Macaca mulatta: one gene and its partner. The protein of the gene in region 2 purifies or fractionates together with the protein of the main gene of each other region. This does not show direct contact. Links are inferred from orthologs where the notes say so. Each region holds a gene or a part of one and is shown on either strand. Other genes may lie near its edges.

Region 1 (9,786 bases), on a different chromosome or scaffold from region 2:
TTTTTAACAAATTGTTTAAACTATTTTCTTAAAGAGACTTCCTCCACTGCCAGAGATCTTGAATAGCCTGGAAAAAAAAAAAAAAATGTGGTTAAGGAACCACAACACTTCACAGACATCAATAAATTAAATGCCTCTTTGCATAGTTCAACATCTATTTTTCATTCTACCACCAAATAGGTTAACTCTAGATAAAGAAATGACTCCAAGAAAATTTATACTCAGATATAATTTAATTCCTAATACTTTAATCAGTCATAAAAATAATATGAATATACTAATATTTAATAGTTTATTTACTTAAGGAAATAAAAAGACCAGAGACCCATTTGGCCAATGTTACTTCTAACTTCATCTTCCCTGAGATCAGCTTTAGAGTTGGCCAGATTTAGCAAATAAAGTTAAACACCAGAAACGTATTCTGAATTGCCTGTGCATGTGTACATTTAGAAAAAGCTATCTGCTGAAGCTAGGCATGGTGGCTCACGCCTGTAATCCCTACACTTTGGGAGACTGAGGTGGGCAGATCACTTCAGCTCAGGAATTCGAGACCAGCCTTGGCAACATGGTGAAACCCTGTCTACTAAAAACGCAAAAATTAGCTGGGCATGGTGGTGTGCAACTACATGAGGCCCAGCTACTCAGGAGGCTGAGGAGGGAGGGTTGCCTGAGCCCAAGAGGCAGAGGTTGCAGTGAGCCAAGATCACACTACAGACGGGTGACCAAAGCAAACCCAAAAACAAAAAGCAAACAAAAAACAGCTGGCCAGACATGGTGGCTCACGCCTGTAATCCCAGCACTTCAGGAGGCCGAGATGGTGGATCACCTGAGGTCAGGAGTTCAAGACCAGCCTGGCCAACATGGCGAGGTGGTTCTGAATAAAAATCCAGAAGTTCACCAAAAACTAGAAAATGAGATGACAGGATTCTCTCAGCTGTCACTGTTTCACAGCCAATGGGTTCTCAGGTACAAGATAACTGAATACTGAATGCCAATATTAAATATCATAGAAATCTTTTTTTGTTGAGATGGACTCTCACTCTGCCACCCAGGATGGAGTGCAGTGGCACTCACTGCAACCTCTGCCTCCCAGGTTCAAGCGATCCTCCTGCCTCAGCCTCTTGAGTGGGTGGGATTACAGGTACACGCCACCATGCCCAGCTAAATTTATTATTTTTAGTAGAGACGGAGTTTTGCCATGCTGCTTCCCAAAGTGCTGGGATTATAGGCATGAACTACCACGCCCAGCCAAAGATCTTCTCATCATCAGGTTCAAACAAATATACATTGTCACTGCTTGCATCTTGCATCTCTATGTCAAAGACGGGAAGCATTTAGTTTTGATAATCTCTAATAGTAATTCAAGTTATTAAACATTTACTATTTATTGCAGAAATTTCATTCTGACACGAGAATACTTTCAATTCTAGAGCAAGATAATACTTCTGGTAGGCTGGGCAAGGTGGCTCGTGCCTGTAATCCTAGCACTTTGGGAGGCCAACTTGGGAGGACTGCTTGAGGCCAGGAGTTCAAGACCAACCTGGGCAAAAATACTTTTAAAAACAAAATACTTCTGGTAGAAGTGCTGGTTCAGTAATTTAATAGCTACAAAACTTTGTAGCTACAAGCCTTTGTTATAAAGTACAGACGACCACTGCAACTTAATCATTAAATTATCACTTTCCTTGGCTGTACTTGAAGAAATGCATCTCTTATGCTTACTTGTTAGTACATATTGGTTATTTATGTCTGACTTTCCACTATTTTCAATATTAAATAACCTGTTGCATAATGCTTCAAAATAACCTGTTGTATAAAGTTTCAAAATAACTTATGCTCAATCAATGTTTAGTATGCCAAATAAACTCCCAAAACTCACACTTTAAACTTTGGGATTCAAATGTAGAGAAAAAACAGAATAGCAACCAAAAGACTGAATCTGATCATCTTAAAGCCCATCACTGCAACTTTAGCAAAGCTCAAGTCAAAATTAACCAAATCAAAGACTGAATCTGATCATCTTAAAGCCCATCACTGCAACTTTAGCAAAGCTCAAGTCAAAATTAACCAAATCAGGGTTTTACAAACCCAAAAACTAAAAATTAAGGTGCAATTAAAATAACTGACCTGCTAAATATTATGGCAGAAAAAAACCAGCTAATTGCCAAATTTTCTGAAAAAAGCTGACTACAGGAAACCTAAAAACCATTAAATGCAGCCATCGGTTCTCTACACGATACCTACCTAACGTCCCTATTTAACCACTTTTACATTTTCCTTACACTTATAAGTCAACTGTAAGGCCGGGCGCGGTGGCTCAAGCCTGTAATCCCAGCACTTTGGGAGGCTGAGGCGGGTGGATCACGAGGTCAGGAGATCGAGACTATCCTGGCTAACATGGTGAAACCCCGTCTCTACTAAAAATACAAAAAACTAGCCGGGCGTGGTGGCGGGCGCCTGTAGTCTCAAGCTACTTGGGAGGCTGAGGCGGGAGAATGGCGTGAACCCGGGAGGCGGAGCTTGCAGTGAGCCGAGATCACGCCACTGCACTCCAGCCTGGGAGACACAGCGAGACTCCGTCTCAAAAAAAAAAAAAAAAACAAAAAAAAGTCAACTGTAAATAAGAGCAAAAATAAATGCATAAACTGTATGTTGACGAAGACTTTCGTACTAATTGTAAAATCTAACAGCTAAACTCAAGCTTATATATCTAGTAGTAGCCACAATTTAGTGTCTTGCTTCCAGGTTTCACGTTAGGATGATTTTGGCAAAATGTATTTCCCATAAGATCTATGGAAAAAAAAAAAAAAAAGATCTCTACCAACTCCCAAAAAAGCAAAGACCAGACTGCCCCAAGCCGCCAAATGGAGCAACAAGGAAAACCACAGCAATTTCCTTAGCCAAAATAGTACCAAAAAAGTAAAACTGAATTCAATAACCAAGAAATAATTTGCCAACTATAGGAAATTTGGAAAAAATATACTAAAGTTATCGTCTCAGACTGCCAACTGTATTCTTCATGTATTTCATTAAATACATGAATTTTCAGATTATTTCATTAAATGAATTATCTGTGGCTAGGAACTTTTTAAAAAGAGCCAACACTTAAAAAGGGTAAAGGCAGAATCATAATAAATCACGAAAAACTTGGACTTCATCTTGTCCCCAGAAAATTCAGTTACCTCTTGGTCAGTCATCCGGAAGCAATTCTTCACATAATTGATGAACTTGGCTTCCACTTTGGGAAGAGAACCACCCTATTGAGACAAAAGCATTATTACAGGTAAGTAGAGAAATACACTGAGAGAGATACCTTTAGAAAATTCCTCAATAATCTGCAATGCTACTACATAGAGCAGTTTACTCCTTTTCCCTTCAACTTTCCAAGAATACTCAATGTCTTTTTCAGGGCCAGAAAGCCCTATTGGGCAGCATGGCTAGTATCTCTATTCAAACAGATTTGCCAAAGGGTCAAATCTTCCCAGACGACCTCTCTAGGAACATAAAATAAAAGCTACACTTGAGATTCTACAGACAAACATGACATGGCAACTCGGTTGCTTATCTGTATTATCTAACAAGCCGGTTTTATCACCCAGAACCAAACACAACCTGTAACACTCCTTTGGAGAACCATGTCAAGTGACCCAAACTGTTGTTTAAAAAAAAACAAAACCCCACAAAACACTTGTTGATCACAAACCAGTTCAGAACAACAATGATCTGGTCATCAGTTAAAGATATATAAAGTTGAATGGGGAAAAAATTACAGTAATTACATTTCACTAATCACTCTTACCATTTCCTTCAAATTACGGATATATGCAAGAAACTACAATGGGGGAGAAATTACAGTAATTACACTTCACTAATCACTCTTACCATTTTCCTTCAAATTATGGATATAGGCAAGAAACTACAACAGTGTTGGCGATACCTGTAACTTTTTGTCACCAAAATTTCAAAACATTACTATTGCAAATATCTTGAAATGTTTATTTATCACTACTTTGGAATTACCTTAAAGCACTGAATATATCTGTTTTTATTAAATTTAATACCTTTCCCTCTAAGTATCTTTTATGCATTTTTAAAAGATTGAAAAGGTTTTCAAATGTCCAAGGGACCTTGGCAGAATCAAGTATAGCATTAAGAAACTTAACTGCCTCCAATAACCTAGTAAAATAAACCTCAATTTCCATTTCAAAATTATTGTCACATACATTCTTAATTGATTCATTCAAATATTTATTGAGCAGCTAAGGAGATACAAAGGCGATTTAAAACATTGTCAGAGGTGAGGCAAATGCACAAGTAATAGAAAGCAAAGGGCAAGGTTCACTGAATCACAGCAGTCAGAAGAAAGTGCTTTAGGGAACCAAGAGTGAGATTGTTTCCAGCCTGAAGAGGCATGGGTGGCAAATCAGAAAAGGGGATTGAGATTAAAATAGAAGACTTCAGTCTGGATTGTTGATGACACTCAGTATGGACTATATTTGTCTCTCCTTTTCCTTTCTCCCCATCTTTGGGCTTAATTTACATGTAGTGCCCAGGGCTGTTCAATGCGCCTGCAATTAAACCAAGGAGATAGGACCATATTAAAATGGAGGGGAGGGGAATCTAAAATATGTCATTTCAGCATTGTATCCAAGGGACAAAAATCTGATAAGCAGGAAGGCTAAAGGGTTTCCAGTGTGACTAAAACAAGAAATATGTTCCAGTTCTAAAATTTTTTTTCCAGTGGACTTATCACTGTACAAGGAAATCTACACAAGCCAACAAAAAATCTATAGAGTACAGGAAAAACATGGGGAAATGAGTTGGCAATTTTTCCTTACCACCCCACATTTGTTCTCAATAATTGCAGTCTAAAAGTATTGTTCATTGAATTAAAGCTTCTCTCAAATGTGCTTCCAAGGCATTTAAACCATTTATTTCATATCCTACTCAAGTCAATCAGACAAGAGACCTAATCGTCTTCCCACATTTCCATTATTTAAGACAAAAGGAAACTAGATTTAAACCTATTAGTCATTCACAAAATCTATTACTACACGTATTTAACTGGTGACAACTTGGTGTAAAGGGCAAACAGAAATGTCTCAATCTGCTGAAAATTACTTCTGACTAGGGTCAATCATGAATATTTAACTATAATACCAACCAAACAGTCTACTTTTCCAGCTGTTTGCAATTTTAATGAAGTCTCATACGCCCTCTGTTGGTTCTCTAGCATATCTTACAACCAGAATAGGTCAAGGGTTCTCACTGATCTATTTTAACATGGAAGGTCAGAATGTTATCTTGCAACCAGTGCACTACATTCCTTTTATAATGGAAAATAAGGCATATTTAATTTTGCATATGCAAATCACCATAGACACGATTATAAATGTTTTATAATTCATTTTTAAAAAAATTCATACCACGAACAGGGCAAGTACATTAAACCAAAACAAAAAAAACAAGAAACATTCAAGTCTACGCAAACTAGACACATGCAATTTGAGCAGGGAGAAAGTTTTTTTTTAAATAACTTTACTCACTTTTTCTATACTTGCTTGCATTTTTGCTTTAATGTCTTCTACAGAACTAGGTCCTTTTGGTGTTTTAGGAGTTTTTTCCTGTTTTTTGAAGGATTCTTGTCCCTGAAAAGGAAATGAACTTCCAAAAGGTCATAAGAATAAATACAACTCCTAATTTAAAACCCATTCTATCTGGATTTCCTCAAATAGTCTTACAAAACTCCCTTATAAAGCTAATTATACAACTGGAATTATCAATAAATTCACACCATACAATTTTGTTCTTAAAAATCTTTCTTGTAAGATTAGCTAGGCATGGTGGTGCATATGCCTATAATCCCAGCTACTCAGGAGGCTAAAGCGGGAAGATTGCTTGAGCCCAGCAGCTGGAGGCTGTAGAGAGAGCTATGATCATACCACTGTACTCCCAACTGGGCAAGAGTAGGACACCCGTCTTTTTTTTAAAAAAAAAAAAAAAAAAAAAAAAAAAGGAGTAACTTGGGAGTTCACTTTTTAATGCACAATACTCAGTTCAAAAAATGAAATCAGAAGATCCCTAAGAATAAAGCAAGAAAGTCATTGCAGTCTGATGCCTGGGGCCCACCCCAGACCAATTTCATGATAATCTCCATAAGCAGAGCACAGTGTTGGGTTCTTTTAAAGTTTTTCTCCTTTAAATTCCATTTTCTGCAGGGAAGGGGGTAAGGCCAGAAAGGAGACCATCACACCCTGTCTGGCCCTAAATGTTCTACTTCAATCTAATGTGCAGCCAAGGTTGAGAATCTCTACTCTATGCAGGTATACTTTTCAACAAAGATTCCTTACAGGAAACAACTATTGACTTCACAATCATAAAAAATTCAAGCCAGGCGTGGTGGCTCACGCCTATAATCTCAGCACTCTGGGAGGCCCAGGAGGGCAGATCACCTGCAGTCAGGAGTTCAAGACCAGCCTGGCCAACGTATATAGTGAAACCCGACCTCTACTCAAAAATACAAAAATAAGCTGGGCCTGGTGGCACACACGTGTAGTCCTAGCTACTTGAGAAGCTGAGGGAGGAGAATCGCTTGAACCCAGGAAGTGAAAGTTGCAGCAAGCCGAGATCATGCAGCTCTAACCCAGACTCACTGACAAAGCGAGGGTCCGTCTCTCTCAAAAAAGTCCATTGGTTCCCCCCGCCACTGGAACCCCAGCAGCACATTACTTAGTATGTTTGTCTGTGTGTACCTATAACACATAACAAGCTGATTTTTTTTTTTTTTTTTGGAGGCAGAGTCTGACTCTTTCGCCCAAGCTGGAGTGCAGTGGTACAATCACTGCAACCTCCGCCTCCTGAGTAGGTGGAATTACAGGAACATACCACCATGCCTGGCTAATTTTTGTGTTTTTAGTAAGGACAGGGTTTCACGTTGTTGGCCAGGCTAGTCTCAAACTCCTGACCTCAGGTGATCCCACCAACCTTAGCCTCCCTCCCAAAGTGCTGGGATTACAGGAGTAAGCCACTGCGCCCGGCTGCAGCAAGCTGATTTAAACTTTAAAACAGCAATTACAGGGGTTCTATAAAGGCCTATGAAATTTCAGACACACTAGATTCTTCCACAACAGTAGAATCTTTTTTCCCCGACTGTATCAATGAGACCCATATGTAAATGTAACCACTTACTTTTGATCTTGGTGTTGATGATGGTTTTGAGTCTTTTCCATTCTGATTTGACTTTTGTGCATTTTTGGCTGGAGTATCTCGTATAGACTGCAATTAGAAATTTATCTTAATCACTGTCCCTGACCCCAGCAACAGTGCAAACAGTACTGTCCAAGCCATGTAAGAAAAGCAGCAACCACAGGCTGGGCGCAGTGGCTCACGCCTGTAATCCCAGGACTTTGGGAGGCCGAGGCAAGTAGATCATGAGGTCAGGAGTTCAAGACCTGCCTGGCCAACATGGTGAAACTCCATCTCTACTAAAAATGCAAAAATTAGCTGGGTGTGGTGGCCTGAGTCTGTAATTCCAGCTACTCAGGAGGCTGAGGCAGGAGAATCACTTCAACCCGGGAGGCAGAGGTTGCAGTGAGCCGAGATTGCGCCACTGTACTCCAGTCTGGGTGACAGACTCCGTCTCAAAAAAAAAAAAAGAAAAAAAGAAAAGAAAAAGCAGCAACCACTTGAATAAAAGGTTACACAAGACTAACAAATTGGGTGGAGGGCTACATGGATAAAGAAAACAGACCATTCCCCACTATAAGTTTTCTGTAGTCCTCCTCAGAACTAATTTTCAGTATGAGATGATCTCCCACACCAGCTTCCCTCAACTACAAAACAAGCAAATAGCACTAAAAAATTACTATTTCTATTGTTAGTTTAACAACCTTGTAGCATTGTATCTACTCACTTTCTTCACTGGTGCTTTTTCTTCAGCTTCCTCATCATCAAAATCATCATCATCATCACTACAAATGAAACATCAAGACATTAAGCACTTTCAAAATTTGGGAGTAGACACAAGAATTGAAAGCAGGACCTTGACGTGATTATTTGTGCACCGTGTTAATCGAAGCATTCATTGTTCACAACAGCCAAGAGATGAAAGCAACCCAACTGTTAAATGGCTGAATAATGAAAATGTTTACGCACACACGATGAAAATCCTCTTGCATGCTATATGACTGAACCTTGAACAAAGTAAAATAAGCCACCCACAAAAAAAACACTGTATGATTCTATTCATTAAGTATCCAAAAGTAGTCAAACTCAAAAGAAATGGAAGGTATAATTGTGATCACTAGGGGCTGGGAAACAAAGCTGCTCAATAAGTAGTTTTGCATGAATATACACTATGCCAATGTATAATATATGTATATTTAAGTAATGTACAGTTAAACTGTACACTCAAATAGAGTAAATTTATGTTTAAAAAAAAAAAACTAAAGACCTAAATAGAAACATTCCATGTTCAGATATTGCCAAGATGGCAACACTCCCCAAATACACAGGTTAAATACAATCCTTAGAAGACTCCCCAAGCTGGTTTCTCTGTAGAAATAGATCCTAAAATTTATATATAAACCCAAGAGTCGGCAGTGTGTCACAACTATAATCCTAACACTTTGGGAGGCTGAGGTGGGAGGATCTCATTTGAGTTCGAGACCAGCCTAGGCAACATGAGAACCCTCTCTACAAAAAAAAAAAATTTAATTAGCAGACGTGGTTGTGTGTGCCTGTAGTCCCAGCTACTTGAAAAGCTAAGGCAGAAGGATCTACTTGAGACTGTAACTGTGTAATTCTGCCACTGCACTCCAGCCTGGGTGACAGAGCAAGACCCTATCTCAAAGAACAAAAACAAAAAAAGACACTTAAGGGACCCAAAGAGGCCAAATGCAATCTTGAAAGGAACAAAGCTAGAGAACTCACACTTGATTTCAAAAAATCAGCTATAAGACCTACGAAGGGGTCAAGGCACCATGGCTGATGCTTGTAATCCCAATACTTTTTAGGAGGCCGAGGCAGCTGGATCACCTGAGGTCAGGAGTTTTGAGACCAGCCTGGCCAACAGGGAGAAACCCAGTCTCTACTAAAAATACAAAAATTATCCAGGAGTGGTGGCGGGCACCTGTAATCCCAGCTACTTAGGAAGCTGAAGCAGGAAGACCCGGGAGGCGGAGGTTGCAGTAAGCCAAGATCGCACCATTGTGCTTCCAGCCTGGATGACAGAGAGAGACTCATTTAAAAAAAAAAAAAAAAAAACTGCAAAGGAACAGTGTTGTAACTGTTCTTACCTGTTAAGGATAGACACATATATCAACAAACAGACCATAAATAAATACGTATATTTATAGTAAGTGATTTTTTTTTGTTTTTTGAGATGGAATCTCACTCTGTCACAGGCTGGAGTACAGTGGCGCAATCTCTAATCACTACAACCTTTGCCCCCCAGGTTCAAGCGAATTCTCCAGCCTCAGCCTCCTGAGTAGGTGGTACTACAGACACAAGCTACCATGCCCAGCTAAAATTTGTATTTTTAGTAGAGACAGGGTTTCACCATATTGGCCAGGATAGTCTCTATCTCCTGGTCGTGATCCACCTGCCTGGGACTCTCAAAGTGCGGGGATTACAGGCGTGAGCCACCGTACCGGGCCGTAAGTGACTCTTTTAAAGGTTGCCAAGATCCTTCAATGGGGAAAAAAGTTTTGGAACAAATCATTTGGGGAAACTGCTCATCTACACCCCAAAGTCTATATTTGGACCCCTCCATTCACACCATACACA
Region 2 (10,418 bases):
GTATTTTTTGATTCAGGGTCTTACTCCAAGCCTGGAGTGCAGGGGTGCAATCACAGCTCACTGCAGCCTCAACCTCCTGGACTCACACAATCCTCCCACTTCAGCCTCCCAAGTAGCTGGGGCCACAGGCACACGCCACCACACCCGGTTAATTATTTTTGTACTTTTTTTGTAGAGTTGGGATTTTGCCATGATGGCCAGGCTGTCCTTCAATGTCTTGATCAACTGATATCTTAATGATCTGCATTGAACCTTCCTAGCCAAGACCATAGCCTATATTTCTCTTTGTTCAAGTCTTTTTCTGTATCCTTTTGCAGAATTAAACATTTTTTCTTTACACAGACTGTGCATATTTCTTGTAAAGTTTATTTCTAGGTGTTTTTACTGCTTTGTAAATTATATCTTTTTTCTCGTTTCGTTTTTTTTCTCTTTTCTTTTCTTTTTTTTTTTGAGATGGAATCTCGCTCTGTTGCCCAGGCTGGAGTGCAGTGACATGATCTCAGCTCATTGCAAGCTCTGCCTCCTGGGTTCACACCATTCTCCTGCCTCAGCCTCCCGAGTAGCTGGGACTACAGGCGCCTGCCACCTCGCCCAGCTAATTTTTGGTATTTTTAGTAGAGACTGGGTTTCACCATGTTAGCCAGGATGGTCTCGATCTCCTGACCTTGCGATCTGCCCGCCTCATACTCCCAAAGTGCTGGGATTACAGGCGTGAACCACCGTGCCTGGCCTCGTTTTGTTTTTTGAGATGGAGTCTCACTCTGTGGCCTGGGCTGGAGCACAGTGGTGTGATCTCAGCTCGCTGTAACCTCCGCCTCCCAGGTTCAAGTGATTCTCCTGCCTCAGACGCCTGAGTAGCTGGGACTACAGGTGCGTACCACCACGCCTGGCTAATTTCTGTATGTTTAGTAGAGATGGAGGGGTTTCACCATGTTGGCCAGGCTGGTCTTGAACTCCTGACCTCAAGAGATCTGCCCGCTTTGGCCTCCCAAAGTGCTGGGATTGCAGGCATGAGCCACTGTGCTCGGCCCCATTATATTTTTATGTCTTCTAATTGTTGCTCTTAGATTCTGACATATCCCCAGGGTGCAGACCACCTCAAATAAGCTTGAGAATTACTTATTTAGGCCAGCAAGTAGTTCTCAACCTTGTTTTCCTGTGCTACACATACTACAGGTGACCCTGACATACACCAGTCAACCCTACAGGTGTTCCCTGTTTCTTCGGGACTTTCGCAGAGATAAGCAAGGCTGTAGTTTTTCAGCAGTCTATGGAAATTTATCATGTACCTGTTGTGTCCCTGACACTGTGTTAGGGGCCAGGGACTATCATGATGACTTAATACAGGGTGAGTCTCTGCTGTCATGGAAGTTGATCTCTTAGTCCTAGCCTAATATACTCAACAGATAATTGAAAAATTATGGCCGGGCGCGGTGGCTCAAGCCTGTAATCCCAGCACTTTGGGAGGCCGAGACGGGCTGATCACAAGGTCAGGAGATCGAGACCATCCTGGCTAACACGGTGAAACCCCGTCTCTACTAAAAAATACAAAAACTAGCCAGGCGAGGTGGCGGACGCCTGTAGTCCCAGCTACTCGGGAGGCTGAGGCCGGAGAATGGCGTGAACCCGGGAGGCGGAGCTTGCAGTGAGCTGAGATCCGGCCACTGCACTCCAGTCTGGGCGACAAAGCGAGACTCTGTCTCAACAAAAAAAAAAAAAAAAGAAAAATTATGAGGGTACAAAGTTCTACTAAGAGGCTATGAGAGTGGAACAGAGATAATTCATCAGAGGTTAACATTCACACTTGTAATCCCAGCACCTTGGGAGGCCGAAGTGGGTGGATCACCTGAGGTCAGGAGTTCGAGACCAGCCTGGCCAACATGGCAAAACCCCCATCTGTACTAAAAATACAAAAATTACAGGGCATAGTGGCATGCGCCTGTAGTCTCAGCTACTTAGGAGGCTGAGGCAGGAGAATTGCTTGAGCTTGGAAGGTGGAGGTTGCAATGAGCCGAGATCGTGCCACTGCACTCTAGCCTGGGTGACTGAGTGAGACTCTGTCTCAAAAAAAAAAAAAGGCCGGGGCCTGGTGGCTCACGCCTGTAATCCCAGCACTTTGGGAGGCCGAGACGGGTGGATCACGAGGTCAGGAGATTGAGACCATCCTGGCTAACACGGTGAAACCCCGTCTCTACTAAAAATACAAAAAAAATTAGCCGGGCTCAGTGGCCGGCGCCTGTAGCCCCAGCTACTCGGAAGCTGAGGCAGGAGAATGGCGTGAATCCGGGAGGCGGAGCTTGCAGTGAGCGAGATCGCCCCACTGCACTCCAGCCTGGGAGTGAGACTCCGCCTCAAAAAAAATAAAAAATTAAAATTAAAATCAATATCTCACAGGGCTTTTATGAGCTTTGCATCAGAGAGCCGAGATCACACCATTGCACTTCAGCTTGGGCAACAGAGTGAGACTCTGTCTCAAAAGAAAAAAAAAAAAAAGTCAATGTCTCAAAAGGCTTTTATGAGTTTTGCATGTTTCCATTCCTTAGTTCAAATGCATATAATTTATCTTGTGAGAAGGAACACACAGAATTTATCATAACATACTTAATGCTCACAGTTTCTTGTGAACTAAGAATACATAGCTTCAATCTTTTTCTCAAGATAAAGAAAAATAAGTCCTTAATTACTTAGCAAGAGTCAAGAAGTCTTCAGGATCTGGGAAGAGAATGACTGACAGTTTCTTGAAGAAAACAAATCTAGGTGACCTACTCCTGTTCAGGTACGGTGGCCCACACCTGGAATAATCCCCCCAGTACTTTGGAAGGTCGAGGCAAAAGGATTGCTTGAGCCTAGAAGTTTGAGACCAGCCTGGTCAACTTAGTAACTTAGTAAGACCTTGGGCAACTTAGTAAAACCCTTTCTCTATAAAAAAGGTAAAAAATTAGCTGGGAGTGGTGGCGCATGCCTGTGGTCCCAGCCACTCAGGAGGCTGAGGTAGGAGGATTTCTTGAGCTCAGGAGGTTGAGGCTGCAGTGAGCTGTGTTCATGCCACTGCACTCTAGTTAGGTGACAGGGCGAGACCCAGTCTCAAGAAAAAAAAAAAAGATATGTGGAAGGAGGGAAGAGGGAAGAAAGAAAATTGGGGCTGGAAGTCATAGACCCACCACTTTTGTCCCCATGGGTGATTGCAAAATCACCTTTGATGAGATTGTCTGATTGTGCACAGCTTTGGGTTTAGGGAGACCTCTCTGCATCTGCTCCTTTACCCAAGGAGGTATGGGATCCACACTGCTTGGAAGTTAGAAAGAAAAAAAAGATCACTTTTAGCAGAGGGCTGGACAATATCTGATTGTTGCTTAGTACTGTCTTGGATGGGCACTAAAGGAACGGTGAAAGTCCTTTGACTATTTTTGGTGTTCTGAAATTCAGTGTCTTTGCACTTCACAAGAAGCAATGTATGGAGGCCTTGTCTAGAGAACAGTGTCCTCCCAGGCTTGGCTAAGGCTCCAAAGTCTCGCTTGGAGGGGCTCCTTCAGACACAGCAGCTCGTATTTTGAATTTATATTCCCTTGGCAAGAGAGACTGAGCAATTGTTAGATTGAGAGATATTTAAGAGAGAGAAAATTATTTTTAAATAGTGGGGAAGCAGTCCTAGAGTGAGCAGGAGAGACAAGCTCTGTGTATTTGCAGTTCCTTCACTCATTCTCAGTTTCCTGGACCTCTTACAACACGAGCATAATTTTCACTGAGTCTGATCTCAGAAGTTCAAGATTCTTTTTTTCTTTTTCTTTTTTTTTTTTTTTGAGATGGAGTCTTGCTCTGTTGCCCAGGTTGGAGTGCAACGGCATGATCTTGGCTCACTGCAACCTCCATCTCCGAGGTTCAAAAGATTCTCCTGCCTCAGCCTCCCAAGTAGCTCTGATTACAGGCGCCCACCACTACACCCGGCTAAATTTTTTTTGTATTTTTAGTAGAGATGGTGTTTCCCCATGTTAGTCAGGCTGGTCTTGAACTCCTGACCTCAGGTGATCCGTCGGCCTCGGCTTCCCAAAGTGCTGGGATTACAGGCGTGAGCCACTGATTCTTTACTGGCCACGCTTCCTCCAACCTCCCATATAATACGGCTGCTAAAACCCACTTACTTAGTTTATCTAGATCTGGGTGAAAGAAATAGCAATCTAGCACTTCTTGTCTTTTTTTTTTTTTTTTTTTTTTGAGATCAAGTATCACTCTGTCGCCAAGGCTGGAGTGCAGTGGTGCGATCTCGGCTGCAATCTCCGCCTCCCGGGTGCGGTTCTCCTGCCTCAGCCTCCCGAGTAGCTCGGACTACAGGCGCCCACCACCACGCCCGGCTAATTTTTTGTACTTTTAGTAGAGAGGGGGTTTCACCGTGGTAGCCAGGATGGTCTCGATCGCTTGACCTAGTGATCTGCCCGCCTCGGCCTCCCAAAGTGCTGGGATTACAGGCGTGAGCCACCGCATCCGGGCTATTGTCTTTTATCTCACTGTAAAATTTTCTGATTTTATTTATTGTGTGTTTTACTCACACAAGAATGTAAGCTCTACGAGGGCACGGATTTTTGTCTGTTCACCACTACATTCTTAGCCCTTGGAGCAATGCCTTGCATACAGCAAGCATTTAATAAACATTTACAGATGAAGGAAGAAACAACTGCAGGAAGGAGAGAAAGGAGGGCCAGAGGCAAGACAAGAGGAAAGACCGAGAGAAGGAAGGAAAAAGGAAGTGGAGGAGGAAAGAAGGTAGGCTAGGTTCTCCCAGACACGCTTCAAGTCCAGCAGGCAGCACGAAACTCCCACAACTACAACTCCCGGCAGGCCCCGGGGCCCAGGGCGGCCCGCGGCAGCCTAGGCGGGACAGGGCGCCACTCCCGCTGAGCTCCCGGCGTGCCTTGCGAGCGCAGGCTCCGCCGCAGCGCCCGCCGGAACTTGTGGTCCGGGCCGCGGGTGGGGGGTGGGGCCAGGCCTGGAGGCGGGCGGGGGACGGGGGCGGGCGCCTGCCCCTCCCCCGTCACTTCCTGCCGGGCTGCGGGCGCCGGAGCGGCTCTTCAGCGTTTGCGCCGGCGACCGCCGCGTCTCTCTCGGCTCCTGCTTCCTTTGACCGCCCCCCCACCCCCCGGCCCGGCGGCGCCCGCCTCCTCCACGGCCACTCCGCCTCTTCCCTCCCTTCGTCCCTTCTTCCTCTCCCTTTTTCCTTCCTCCTTCTCCTCCTCGCCGCCACCGCCCAGGACCGCCGGCCGGGGGACGAGCGCGGGGCAGCAGCCAGGTGAGGCGACCGGGCCGAGCCGGGCCTGGCGGAGCCCGCGCGGGCGCCGCGGTGGTGGGGAGGTGGGCGGCGGGTGGGGCCTAGGCCTCGGCGGGCCCGCGCGCCCCGCCGCCTTCCCCCGGGCCTATGTAGCCCGCGGGGCCTTCCCGGAGGAGGCGGGTCCTCTTGCGCCCCCCGCCTCCGGGCGCCCTGAGGCCTGGCCTCGGGCGCCCCCATCTCCTCCAGCCCTCGCCGGTGTCACAAACAGGTGCCGCGGCCGCCTTTCCTCGTCCCGCATGGCGCGCGCGGGGATGCCGAAGTTATTCCCGGGGCTGGGGCGCGGGTTGGGGGGTGGACCGCTTCAGGTCCCCTAGGGCTGGAGCCTCTCAGTGTCGCCGGCCCAGGTCTGTAGCTTAGTGGTTAAGAGCACGGCCCAGGTGTCCAAAACGGGTGCCAAACCCGGCTCTGCCCCATTAGGCAAGACACTTAAACTCTTTGTGTCTTGGTTGGAAAGGGGGCTGCTAATACCGTCCCTGCCTCTTAAGACTGTTAGGGTTCAGTGAAATGGGGCGTGTAAAGCGCTTATCAGAGTGCCAGACGCAGAGCGTGTCCCAATAAACCGTCTGCATAATTTATTAGCGTGATATGAAGGTATAATTTAATGGACAGAGTGGATAGAAGTTGACCTACCTATCCGTTTGGGTTTCTTAGAGGCTGCAGTGTTCCGCGTGCCCATGTCCAGAGCCAGGGCATTGTTTTGAGTTCTTAACATCTGAAAGGGGCGTACGCTTAATTGGTACATTGTCGTTTGCAGTCTGTAAACGATGGATGCTATTTCTTTCCATGTCCTCCGCTTAGCCAACTGCAGGATATTCACCATCTCACGCAGGATGAGCAACCTGTCCATTTCCCCCCGCCCCGCCATCAGCCAGCTTCTTGTTGTCATTCCATTTCTGGGAAAGTTGCTGGCAGAAGCTTCCCTTGAGTTGAGCAAACCTATCTGGAGCACTTGCTGTGTATCAGGCTCTGAAGCGGGGTGTACGAAGATGGAAAAATTTGTCTGTCTGTTCTTTCTCTACACCTCGATAAGTTTTTTTCGCTGAAGCTTTGCTTATATTCCCCCCTCCCTGTTGGCTTTCCTTTTAAGCCCTTGCCCCGCCTCCGTGTTGCAGTATTGCTTGTGTGGAAGTTTTCTCCTGTTCCGCGAAGATACGTGCTTCAGTCTATTCTGCCACTGTTCTTCGGCTGTGTGGACGTTTTTAAGTTCACACTTCTCTTCTGCTTGTAGCTTTCATTGTTAAGAGCGTGGTGGAAAGAGTTCAGTCAGGTTCCTGGTTGATTTTGGCCTTTCAGGAATCCGTGCTTACCAAATGTAAATTACATTGCTACTTGTTGAGGTAAAAACTAAAAATACAGTTGGAGTGTAGAGGGAGCAGTTTCGGTTTTCCTGGTGACAGGTGGGATTTTTAGTACAGCAACTTTATTAAAGCATACTGGGTTTTGAAAAATTCTGTACTTAGTTTTATAGGTGTACTCTAAGGAAATGCAACTTATGGGTGTTCAATTTTATACGAGTAAGGAGTGTGTGTTTACCTCAGTGATCCTCCTGTATCTTAGGATTGTTTTAGGCATTAAATTTCTTTAGTGGACTGAAAATATTTTTACTTATACGCTTCTCAACACACATGCGGCAAAGTGGCCTCCTTGTTTTTGACATTTTCCTAGAATTTTCTGACAGTCTTACCATTGTTTCTAATTTAAAATATTTGTTTGAATTTTTTTTTTTTTTTTTTTTTTTTTTTTTGAGATAGCCTCACGCTATCGCCCAGGCTGGAGTGCAGTGGCACGATCTCGGCTCATTGCAACCTCTGCCGCCTGGGTTCAAGCGATTCTCCTGTCTCAGCCTACCGAGTAGCTGGGATTACAGGCGCCCGCCGCCGCACCGTGTTAATTTTTGTAGTTTTAATAGAGACAGGGTTTTGACATGTTGGCCAGACTGATCTTGAACTCCTAACCTTGTTATCCACCCGCCTCGGCCTCCATAAGCAGGTTAGGCGCGGTGGCTCATGTCTGTAATCCCAGCACTTTGGGAGGCCGAGGCGGGTGGATCACGAGGTCAGGAGACGGAGACCATACTGGCCAACATGGTGAAACCCCGTCGCCACTGAAAATACAAAAAGTAGCCGGATGCGGTGTCGGGCGCCTGCAGTCCCAGCTACTCGTGAGGCCGAGGCAGGAGAATCGCTTGAACCCAGGAGGCGGAGGTTGCCTGTGCGACAGAGCGAGACTGTCTCAAACAAACAAACAAACAAACAAAAAACCCAAAAAAACCACGTAAGCAAACAACTATACAAACAGTGTAAAGCATGTCTAATACTGCCATATCGCTATGGCATATTGCAATAGGGAAATGGTATTTTAAATACCATTTAAAAAAATCTTTTTATTCTGGAAAATATGTAAAACTCGAATAGTATGGAGAACCCCATGTATTAGTCACTCACTCAGCTTTGACAATTATTAACTCATAGCCAAGGTCGGTTTTGTTTCATGTTGTATCCCCCCACACAAACTAGATTATTTTGAAACAAATCTTAAACGTTGTATAGCAACATTAGCGATTTTGGCTTTTACCAGATTGCTCTTGATTAATGTCACAAAATTTACTTTTAGTAGAATAATAGTTCTCATTTTGTTCGTTGGGCTTCCCTTCTCTGTTTATAAATGGTTTCTGTACAGCAGAAAGGAAAAGGAAAATTAACTCTTGATTCAATGCTTTCAGCTCCTCAAAGTCAAAATACAGCCTTGCTTCTTTGTTGTGTACAAAAGCAAAAATTCTTGAGCTATTAATGACTGTAATTGAAAAGCAAACAGAAATACAGATCTCCCTAGTCCTGTTTGGCAGAGACCTGCCTGTTAACCCACTTTAATAGAGATAACTTTGTGTCAACGTTAAACTACAGTTAATAATTCGTAACGAAAACTTAAAAAGTTTCTTTACAGTAGTTGTGTAAAGATACTGCTGTTACCTTAGGTTAAGAATTAAGCAAAAGATAATCTTTTATCATAGAATTGTTTTCCAAAGAGCCCCCATGTGCTCTATTTCCAAATAACAAATTTAGCAAATATGAATGAAACCTTAATTTTTGTGAATAGTATGAAATCACAGCATGAGTGTTCACGTTTTTCTTTCTTGTGTCTAAAAGATCTCTCTTACAATGGAATTTGACAGGAATATTATAAATGTTTGTCATTGTTGCATAACTTTCAAATTTCTATTCATGAATAGTTTTCAGCTTTTATATCTGTAACGTTATTTCAGGTTTGTAGGTTTACTTTTGAGCTTGATCTGGTACAGTGGAAATGTTACATGTTACGTTTTAGTTATTACTACCTGGAAGATGGGGAAGGATACACCTCTTAAAATTGATTTAGGAAAGAAACACCAATTTAGTATCTGGGAAAGGACACAACACATTTTAGAAAATGTGTAGTGCTTCTCATTAAGCTTAAAGTAAAAATTATAAGCATTGAGAATTGTTACCATAAATAGAGTTTCTTCAGAATAAGTTGCTCTCTTTTATGCTTCAGCCAGAAAGCCCAGGTATATACAGATTACAGCAGATCCTTGAATAATGTTGTTTCAAGATAATGTGAGGAAAAAAACTGTTTGTGGAGTTTGCACGTTCTCCCTATCCCTGCATGGGTTTTCTCGGGGTACTCTTGATTTCCTCCCACATCCCAAAGCTGTGCACATGAGGTTCACTGGTGTGTGGAGCAGTGTGTGTATGTGTGAGTGCTTTCTGCAGTGGATGTCCTGTCCAGGGCTGGTTCCGGCCTTGCACTCTGAGCTGCTGGGATAGGCTCCAGCCACCCCAACCCTGAACTGGAATAAGTGGTAAATTTTTTTTTTTTGAGATGGAGTTTCACTCTTGTCGCCCAGGCTGTGTGCAATCTCGGTTTACTGCAGCCCCACGCCTGTAATCCCAGAACTTTGGGAGGCTGAGGCGGGCAGATCACCTGAGATCAGGAGTTGGAGACCAGCTGGCCAGCATGGCGAAACCCTGTCTCTACTAAAAATACAAAAAATTAGCCAGGCTTGTTGGTGGGCGCCTGTAATCCCAGCTAGTCAGGAGGCTGAGGCAGGAGAGTCACTTGAGCCTGGGAGGCAGAGGTTGCAGTGAGCGGTTATCATGCCATTGCACTCCAGCCTGGGCAACAAGAGCGGAAGTATGTCTCAAAAAAAAAATTATATCTACTTCACATTTATTTCAGTGTTTAATATTAGAAGTGTTTGGTCTTTATTTGAAAGTTTGGTGATGTTTTTCTGATGAGAAATATGCCCTAGAACCTAACTCTTCTTTGTATCAGTTAGCCTGTGTTAGTCGGAAGTCTCAGTTTCCCAGAACCTATCCCTTACATTAAGAGAGGATTTACTGTGTTTTAAGTTTAGAAATGGCCATGACTCATGGAACTCTCCTCCACCCCCATTCTAAAGTCCAGATCATTAATATCATTCTGGGTGTTATCAAACTGGATGCTGCTTCATCCCGTCTCTCTCCCCAATACCACAAGGTAGTCTTAGTTTGTAGGGCAGCTTTCTTTCTTTTTTTTTTTTTTTTTTTTGTGAGACCGAGTCTCACTCTGTCACCCAGGCTGGAGTGCTATGGCGTAGTCTCAGCTAACTGCAAGCTCCGCCTCCTGGGTTGAAGCCATTCTCCCGCCTCAGCCTCCCGAGTAGCTGGGACTACAGGCGCCCGCCACCACGCCCAGCTAATTTTTTGTATTTTTAGTAGAGACGGGGTTTCACCGTGTTGGCTAGGATAGTCTCCATCTCCTGACCTTGTGATCCCGCCCACCTCGGCCTCCCAAAGTGCTGGGGTTACAGGCGTGAGCCACCACGCCTGGCCTGTAGGGCAACTTTCTTTGAGCCTTTTTACTGGATTGAGTAAGAGTGTAATTCAGCATAAAGATGAAACTTTCATGAAAAAGGTATCTTTTTGTGGGATTCCACAAGCCAGTTCCAGAGTTTGTTGCCCAGGCTGATCTTGAACTCCTGAGCTCAAGTGATCCTCCCACCTCAGCCTCCTTAGTAGCTGCAATTATAGGCAGAGGCCTTGTTTTCATGAGCTTCTATTTGATGTCATATTTAGTGATG

What was found.
Region 1: the proteins of STAU1 (region 2) and NPM1 purify together in Homo sapiens (affinity purification with mass spectrometry; 3 studies listed by BioGRID and IntAct, with this or other methods). This does not show direct contact. The link is inferred for Macaca mulatta from reciprocal best matches to the Homo sapiens genes STAU1 and NPM1.

The regions. Positions count from the first base shown.
Region 1 is NC_133411.1:180,257,753-180,267,538, reverse strand, and holds part of NPM1 (nucleophosmin), read right to left. Parts: intron 7,971-9,786; coding exon 7,913-7,970; intron 7,276-7,912; coding exon 7,189-7,275; intron 5,665-7,188; exon of another isoform or gene 5,649-5,664; coding exon 5,547-5,648; intron 4,569-5,546; exon of another isoform or gene 3,258-4,568; coding exon 3,183-3,257; intron 68-3,182; coding exon 29-67; 3' UTR 1-28. UniProt on the Homo sapiens protein: Involved in diverse cellular processes such as ribosome biogenesis, centrosome duplication, protein chaperoning, histone assembly, cell proliferation, and regulation of tumor suppressors p53/TP53 and ARF.
Region 2 is NC_133415.1:102,002,835-102,013,252, reverse strand, and holds the start of STAU1 (double-stranded RNA-binding protein Staufen homolog 1), read left to right. Parts: upstream 1-5,162; 5' UTR 5,163-5,281; intron 5,282-10,418. UniProt on the Homo sapiens protein: Binds double-stranded RNA (regardless of the sequence) and tubulin.